2 linked regions of the Nothobranchius furzeri genome follow. The protein of the gene in region 2 purifies or fractionates together with the protein of the main gene of each other region. This does not show direct contact. Links are inferred from orthologs where the notes say so. Each region holds a gene or a part of one and is shown on either strand. Other genes may lie near its edges. The genes, in order: xrcc1 and tdp1.

Region 1 (3,817 bases), on a different chromosome or scaffold from region 2:
AATGCTAATAATTAGTGGTCGGATGATATATCAGGCAGATATATTCAATTTCTTCTATATCGGCCGAAAATATTTTTAAAAGCCGATTAAAAAAATTATAATCAGGCACCTGCGTGGCCAACTGCCGCCACTACTAGACTGAAGAAAGGACCCGAAGGACCCCAACACATGTTGTTTTGAGTTTGTTTTATATTTGAAGTTCAATAAATATTAAGAGATTTATTGACTTCTTTAATTTATACTGCCCACAGTGAGTTGTCTTTCACAATCAATGTGCTGCTAAAACGTATATATCAGCCTTAATAATCGGCTTTAGATACCGGCAACCTGCAACAAAAATCTTTAAAAATCGGTATCGGCCTTAAAAACCCCATATCGGGTTTTAGCTGAAACGTGCTCTGCTCTCTCCTGGCTGCAAAATCATCACAACCTTTTGCGGTCGTAAGCCAAGGTGAGCGAGACCATGAAGGCTAATTTTTCTCTGTGGCGTCGAGGAGACTTTTTCTTTTTCTGATCAGACTGATTTTCTATCTGTTTCTTTTCTGTGGCTAATGCAGGCGATGGGGCTGAAGAAAATGTTCATGTTCAGCACGCATGCTCACTTCTGAGCAACTGACTGTATTTTGAAAGAAAAATATCACGTTTTCTCTGAGAAGGAGACCTATAAAGGAAAAATGGCGTAAGGACATCCAGTCTGATGAACTCTCCCCAGCCAGTTTAGATGACAGAGCTCAGATGCTAAAGCTCAACTTTTCAGCCTTCTTGTTTTATTATTACAATAATGCAATTCTCCTTTTTGGTTTCTGATGCATCTACGTTAAGCCTCAAAACCTATTTCATAGCTCTGCGCACTTGTGTGGATTAGAATAAACTACTATTTTATTCTAAGAACAGACTTTATGCTTTTGTTGCAATTTTAGAACCACGGCATGTTGACAGATTCACGTTTGGGCGCATCTTAAAATTCAAACGGGAGGAATCTATGAGCAGTTTGACACATTTAAAAAAATCTTTGTGTCAAAAACTTTTTTTTTTCTTTTTTGAAACATACTGGAATACTTTATTTATGTCCCAGTTCGACTACAGTGAACGGCGGGGAGGTTGGGAGTGTGAGGGTATACCTTAATGATGAGGAGAAGCTCACAATCCAGCACCCTCCCAATTAATTGGGATGTTCCAGAGTGTGGGATGAGCGTTCAGCCTTACATTATTCAGTCCACATAGATTTGTCAGGAATGATAACGGGGGACCTTGATGTTGCAGACCCCCTCTTGTAATGAGGCGTACAGTTAGAGAGCTGCTGGAGCTCAGTTGGCTGAATTTGTGATCACAGCAGGGATCATCTGCTCAAGGTTACAGTGTTCTGTGTAGCAAGTGGGCAACCCTGCTGTGGGGGGGAGTATATTTGGATGCTTCAATCAATGTGAGTGCTGAGCACAGATTGTATGGCACAGAGACCCAGGCATGGCTTAAAAGAGAGTATTAATCATACATGGGTTCATAGTGTGTGCACATGCTCGATGCTAAATCTGCTTGGTGGTGTCCTTTATTAAAAAAACGCTGCTGAAATCCAAGCAGCTGCTTGTGTGGCAGAGTTCAGGCCTCTCAGCAGGACGGGACTTTAAATTCTGCTGTAGTTTAACCTTGTTAGAGTTAAAAAAATTGAAGATTTTATCCCAAACTTACCGTTTATATGAAATTTTCTGTTTCCTCTTGTGACAGTCCAGCACCCATTCCTTCCGAACGATGATGCCGCCTGCTGATTTCACCTGACTGTACTTGGGGGTGTTGGCAAAAGCACAGCTGGGGATTAATGAGACAAAACAAATGTGCACATAAACACACCCAAACGATTACATTACCACAGAGACAACAGAAAAACATCGCTCCGGCAGCTGAAGCAGACTAAATCACGGAGTAGCAACTGGGCCAGTGACACAACTCAATGAAAAAAAACACAAAGAATTAAATCACAGGAATAAAAATGTATTAAAAACTCATTTAATATTAAACTAAGTTGTTTTTATCAGAACTATTTAATATAGTCATCATATTTATATGAGTTTGGATTGGTTTAGTCAACTTTAATAAAGTTTTCTTTTTTTCTTCTCTTTCAGTTAAAAATCCATTGATTCTGCTTTAAGCTGCAGGCGCCTGTTCCTAAATCATCTACAGCTCTGCCCCGTCTACTCCAAATTTGACCGGTACTAATTTATCTGAAAGACCATCTAATTCACATCTCCTTTAAATGGATACTATGGAACTTTTTCACATTTTTAAATCATTTTCTTGAGCCAGTATGTGCTAAAATGACTCTTTACAGTGTTATTAAATGTCACTCAGACCCCATCGCCCTCTGTGACCAGAATACCACAGTTGCAACTTCAGAGTTGCCTTGCCGGACCAGTCCCTACTGTTGCTGTGGAGTGGAGCTAGCATGGTGGAGCTGAAGTCTGCTTCCAGCATGTTTCCTGCATGTTGTATATCGTGAACACAGCTGATTTGTTTCATTTAGTGATGAACCGCTCTTTAGAAACTTAAAAGACAAACACACAGCGAGGAGATAAGTTTCACTTTTGCTTTGAACACAGATAATAACAGACACTTGGGGGTGCTAAAAGCAAGAAAAACAGTCTAGCATCCCTTTAAATTTCTAAATTACTTAAAAATTATGATGCTGGAATAAGAAACTTTCACTTGGAGCATCTGTTTTGGCTAGAGTGAATTTGCTCTTAGCGATGGTGAGTTTATGGACCAGGAAAACTGTAGGATTTTTAATTTTCAAACTGGCCGATCATGCTGAATGTTCACTAATACTGATCTTTTCATGAGCACAATATATATATATATATATATATATATATATATATATATATATATATTTTTTTTTTTTTTTACTTTTACTTAAATATTTACAATGTTTTGTCCTGGACTGTTCCATTATTATGTAAAAAAAAAATATGGTAAATGGCCTTTATTTGATATAGTGCCTTATGGAGTCCTAGAACCCCCAAAGGCTCTTTACAACACAATCAGTCATTCACTTAATCACACACACAGCTGCCCTGGGGTGCACTGACAGAGGTGAGGTTCCCACCAGCAGGCAAGGGGGGTTAAGTGACTTGCCCAAGGACACAACGATAGGTCCCTGCATACTTTAAGAATGCTGTAATCCACCCACTTCTTAAAAAAACGAGTCTTGACGCCTCTCTCCATAGCCGTTTCAGACACATCTCTAAATTTCCGTTCATCACCAAGATCTTGGAAAAGGTTGTGGCTAAACAACTCACAGCTGCTCTTGATGAACAGAACATCTATGATAGTTTCCAGTCAGGTTTTCGTAGAGCTCATTCTACTGAAACAGCTCTTCTTAGGGTCTCTAATGACCTTCTGACTCACAGTGATGCAGGAGACTGTTCTGTTGTGGTCCTGCTGGACCTGACTGCAGCCTTTGACACTGTTGACCATCACCTGCTACTGGAGAGGCTGAGAGACTGGGTAGGCCTATCAGGATCTGCTCTGGAGTGGTTCTCCTCTTATCTCTCTGAGCGCTCCTTTTCTGTGGCCGTCTCCAAGTTTAGGTCCTCCACCACCTCTCTTACCCATGGTGTCCCACAAGGTTCTGTGCTGGGGCCTCTGCTCTTCATCCTCTATCTGCTTCCTCTTCAGCACATCCTGAGCTCCTTCAAATGAATCTCCTACCATCTTTATGCAGATGACATCCAACTGTACATCTCCTTTAAGCCCCATGAGATGTCTAAGCTGCAGCTGTTACACACCTGCTTAGACTCTATCAAAACCTGGATGGCTGGGAGCT
Region 2 (4,480 bases):
AGTAACATTTCATTGACCCTGTAAAGGTCATTTTAGCACATATTGGCTCGAGAAAATGATTTAAAATATGGAAAAGTTGCAGAGTATGGCTGTAAACTGTTAGTTGTATGCCCATAATTATGTGGTGCAACACCGAGGGAAACTGTGTTAACCCTTTCAGACCTAAACCTCAAAAAGGCCATCTGGACCCTTCCTTCCCATTTTAGCCGTAAAAACAGCAAACTGTGTTAAACAATTAAGGTTTTAACACGATTGTTGGACTTATGAATCGATGCTAATCAATTCTTGACATTTTTATAAGAATCAATTCAGAATCGGTTTTCCGGTTTTTTCGACACTGCATTACTATTATGGGCTGTCTGTTGAACAGCTGCTTCCATTGTTGGTTCAGTGAGCACCTGACAGAAGCGAACGTGTGGAAAGGGCTGGGCTTGTTGCAGGAGCCGAGCCTTGGCCTCCCTCTTATCTCCATGGATGATCAGAACCGGGCGATCCCTGAAAAACACACACACACACACACACATTTCATTCAACTAGACTTCCTTTTGTGTTCTTCAGAACTGTGTGACGAGGATCTGAAGCGGAGCAGCGAGAACGGGGAGGTGGCAAAGACGAAGCAGGACTTACCTAAACTCTGGAGGAAACTGTTTAACCATCCAAGCAATATCAAAGCAGTAGTTGAACTATAAAAATGAAAGAGGAGCACCATTAGTTCATTAAAACAACACAAACCGAACGGGCCAACAGCCTGGTTGTTGTTTAAAGTTATTTTAAAAAGAAAACAGAATAAAACCAACCTGAACAGACTCTTTCAGCGTTCCAAACAACGGGGAGAGAAGATCTGCAGAGACAAAAGAACATCAGACTGATCGGAGGAGTGGGCTGGTCCCCTGTGAGACCTCCACACAGAAAGCAGCCACCATAAAACTAGAGAACGAGAACTTTACCTTCTTCTCACACTGAGTCAGTGTCAGAGGGACACATGAGGACACACTGCAGGACGTACAGAACATTAGAGGTTGGTGTCCTCCATCCAAACTCACCTCTGATGTGCAAAGCTCCGCTGTTGTACTCTCGGTCCAGTCCTGTGACTTTGTTGAGGTAGAATCTGTAAGTGTCATCAAGACGAGGAGTGCAGGACTCAAAGAAGTCCTCCGACTCATCTATATAGTACTGTCGTCCATGAGGACTTGGAGGACGCTCGCTCTCTGCTTTTAGCTTTTTAGTCTCAGGTTTCAGAGGAGCTCGCTTTGGCAGATTAGCCTGATTGTTCTGTTTCACAGCTCCATCATCTTCATCGCTGTCCGAGAGGGCCCAGCCTGTACCTTCTGACACCTCATTCTTTCTCTTCCCAGCCAGTGAAGGGCTGGTTTTGTATCTTACTGGGTTTATCTGGTTCTTTGTGGCAGTTCGTCTAGCCTCAGAGCCAACAGAGCGAGAGGACACCGGTGTCCTGGCTGCTTCTGCCTTCAGCGTCACCGGAGAGGCAGATGGAGGAGAGCTGTGGCTGATTTCAGCTGTCTGACGGGAACTGGCACCTGTAGTCCCAGAAGGGGGAAGAAGCTCATCTTCATCATCACTGCTGGAGATGGTCCACTTCCCATGATGACTGTCCAGAGACATGCCTGAAGACGCAGAGAGCAACATGATGAGCACATGAAGACACATGTTGTCACAAAAAGACAATCTGGAGCTCAGATCGTCTGCCGCCCTAGAGGCCAGAAGCAGAGCAAAACCTCCAGGCGTATAACAAACCCAAACCCATGGTTCTGGAACTGATTGAAGCGGTACTCTGGATCCTTTAGGGCTGGGCGTGCAGCATGTGGCCAGGAGGTAGGGGGGAAGAGCCGTTTCACCACGGGCCAAAGGAGATCAGAGCATCTTCGTACAAGAGCGTGAAAACCTGAAGTTTCCCCTCACAGTGGCAGTCCACTGCCCCTCAGGGAGGGGGTCATTAAGCATCAATCATTATTGTTATTAATTCAAGAATGTTGGAACTTCGGCCATCCAGCACAGGCGTTGATGCTGGTAGACGGCACTTTAAAAAAGGTTTATATTCAGATTTGTCTGACGTGATGCAGAACAGAAAATTCAAAATACAGAAAACACATTAACAAAAATATTGTTAAAATATAAAAGCTAAAGTGCAATACCAATGACGTCTGTTAAATACATAGTTATTCTTCTTTAATGGTAGACAGAACCACAGAGCCTGGCTGGCCTTTACTCAGCAGACTTGAAATTCAGCTAAATACACAAATACTTTAACTTCACCCCTCTGACCTGCGTCTCCAACAGTGTGGATGCTCCTGTTCCAGTGATACTGGGAAGAATCTAAATGACCAGCGAATCAACTTTGAGATTAATCGTGATTTAAGGGTAAACAACCCAAACAGCCAGAAACACGAGCCCATCCCAGCCGTGCAGAAACAACTCAAAGCAGAAAAAAATGAGTCTTTAGGATCCTGTGGGGTCTCTATCGGACCTGCTCCCGTTAAAAATGTAAAACAATGAGAAAATGTGGCATTAAAGTTATTATGGGATAGAAGATGGGACAGCTGTGCTGTTTACAAGAAGCATCACAGCGCTGGCGTTCAAGCTGAGATAAAAACGTTTTTAAAACCTCCTCTAGCGTCTTTAATGAAATAATACTATTTTATCTTCTTAAAAACTATTGAGAGAACTAAGTTGACAACGATTTCTAACAGAAATATAACAGCCAGAATCTTCTGCTGTAAAGTAGCTAAAAATCAGTCATGCACAGCTACAAAACACCGCGACAGATACCACGTTATATACATAAAATAAACAGATAATAAACTAAACACGACCGCTGAAGTGTGGCGGTGAACCGCGGCACTTACTTTACCAAGACAGGTGCGCAGCTACAGTTTTACTCTGTTGTGAAAAGAAAGTCTGTTGTTTACATCCAGCATGCCTGCAGGAGGAGGGTGCTCACGAAACACGAGTCCGGGTTGAAACTTCAATCTGTTTGAAAAGGTTCCGCTTGAATAGCGGGAACAGCCATCCATCCATTGTCTGAACCCGCTTGCCCATAGGGTCGCGGGGGTGGGGGTGGGGGGTGGCTATCTCCAGCGGTCAATGGGCAATCGATTCGGGCGGGGTACACCCATCGTATATATGTCGATGGGTGTACCCAGGACAGAGTGCCAGTCCATCGCAGATCGCAGGAACATATTTACATATTTCTAGAATATATACCAATAAGCATAGGCGTCATTTTAACCGGGGACGCCGGGGACATGTCCCCGGCAAATTTTATGATTGGCAGCTGTGTCCCCCCCACTTTAAAAAAAGCCTGATGATGAGGATTTTTGTTTTACCAGCTCAGATCTTATACCAGGGATTGGCAACCTGTTCCCATCAAAGAGCCATTATTACCCGTTTCCCACAGTAAAGAAAACACTGGGAGCCACAGCGGCCGCAGCGTTGTGGGCGGGGCCTACCCTCAGACTGCAGAGAGCTGCCCACAACAGGTGACAGCAGCCGGTACCGGTCGCTCACATGGGCGTCGCATCTGTGGGGGATTCAACACCCACACTTTTCCTTCTGTTTTGCTCACCTCCACACCAGTCTGGTTTCTTTAGGTCGCACTCACTCTGTTTGCCTCATCTCCTTCTTCACCTCCACTTCTGACAGCCGATGTCGGGTTCAAGGAGAGCAGGAGATGGAGGGACGGAAGAGCTCGACTGAATTCCTAATTTTACATCTTGACATTAGCTGTACAAAGTCTGAGTTTGATCAAGTGAAGAACAATAATTTGCAGAGGTTTATAACAGGCGCGGCGCCAGGTTTTCATTTTTGGGTGGGCCACGGTAATTTTGGACGGACCTTAATAAGCAGTGACTTAAGTGAAGCAGGCAGGTCGCGCTAGAAAATTTAGTTTAAAAAGACGTCATAAATGTTTTCCCCCGTCATTTTTATTTCTAAAATATGAAGTAAAAACTCACAATTTAATTTTCATTCATTTGTCATTAATATTTAGTCTACACCCGTGCGTTAAGTGGACCATCTTCCAGTAAAAGCAAAGCTTGCAGCCCACCTCTCCAAATGCGTAAAATGTGCATCAGCTGTTAGGCGCGCCACGCGCACCATCACCTGATCAGCCCAGACAAGAGCAGAGCAACTAGAGAAAGAATAGAGGATAATTCTGTCTGGATGTGGATGGAGATTACATTTTACAGCAGCCTGATCATCATTTAAATAAAACCATCACCTGGCTTCTAGTCCACGCTATCAGCATTATTTTAATTGGTGTGTGTGTGTGTGTGTGTGTGTGTGTGTGTGTGTGTGTGTGTGTGTGTGTGTGTGTGTGTGTGTGTGTGTGTGTGTGTGTGTGCGTGTGTGTGTGTGTGTGAAAATGTCAGAATGGGAAAGAAAGGTGATTTAAGCAATTTAGAGCATGGCATGCTTGTTGGTGCCAGACAGGCTGGTCTGAGTATTTCACAATCTGCTCAGT

Evidence for each region.
Region 1: the proteins of tdp1 (region 2) and xrcc1 purify together in Homo sapiens (affinity purification with mass spectrometry; 4 studies listed by BioGRID and IntAct, with this or other methods). This does not show direct contact. The link is inferred for Nothobranchius furzeri from reciprocal best matches to the Homo sapiens genes TDP1 and XRCC1.

Annotation. Positions count from the first base shown.
Region 1 is NC_091745.1:68,560,566-68,564,382, forward strand, and holds part of xrcc1 (DNA repair protein XRCC1), read right to left. Parts: intron 1,804-3,817; coding exon 1,687-1,803; intron 1-1,686. UniProt on the Homo sapiens protein: Scaffold protein involved in DNA single-strand break repair by mediating the assembly of DNA break repair protein complexes. Negatively regulates ADP-ribosyltransferase activity of PARP1 during base-excision repair in order to prevent excessive PARP1 activity.
Region 2 is NC_091749.1:23,439,225-23,443,704, reverse strand, and holds the start of tdp1 (tyrosyl-DNA phosphodiesterase 1), read right to left. Parts: upstream 3,000-4,480; 5' UTR 2,865-2,999; intron 1,626-2,864; 5' UTR 1,624-1,625; coding exon 1,044-1,623; intron 842-1,043; coding exon 798-841; intron 684-797; coding exon 628-683; intron 496-627; coding exon 399-495; intron 1-398. UniProt on the Homo sapiens protein: DNA repair enzyme that can remove a variety of covalent adducts from DNA through hydrolysis of a 3'-phosphodiester bond, giving rise to DNA with a free 3' phosphate.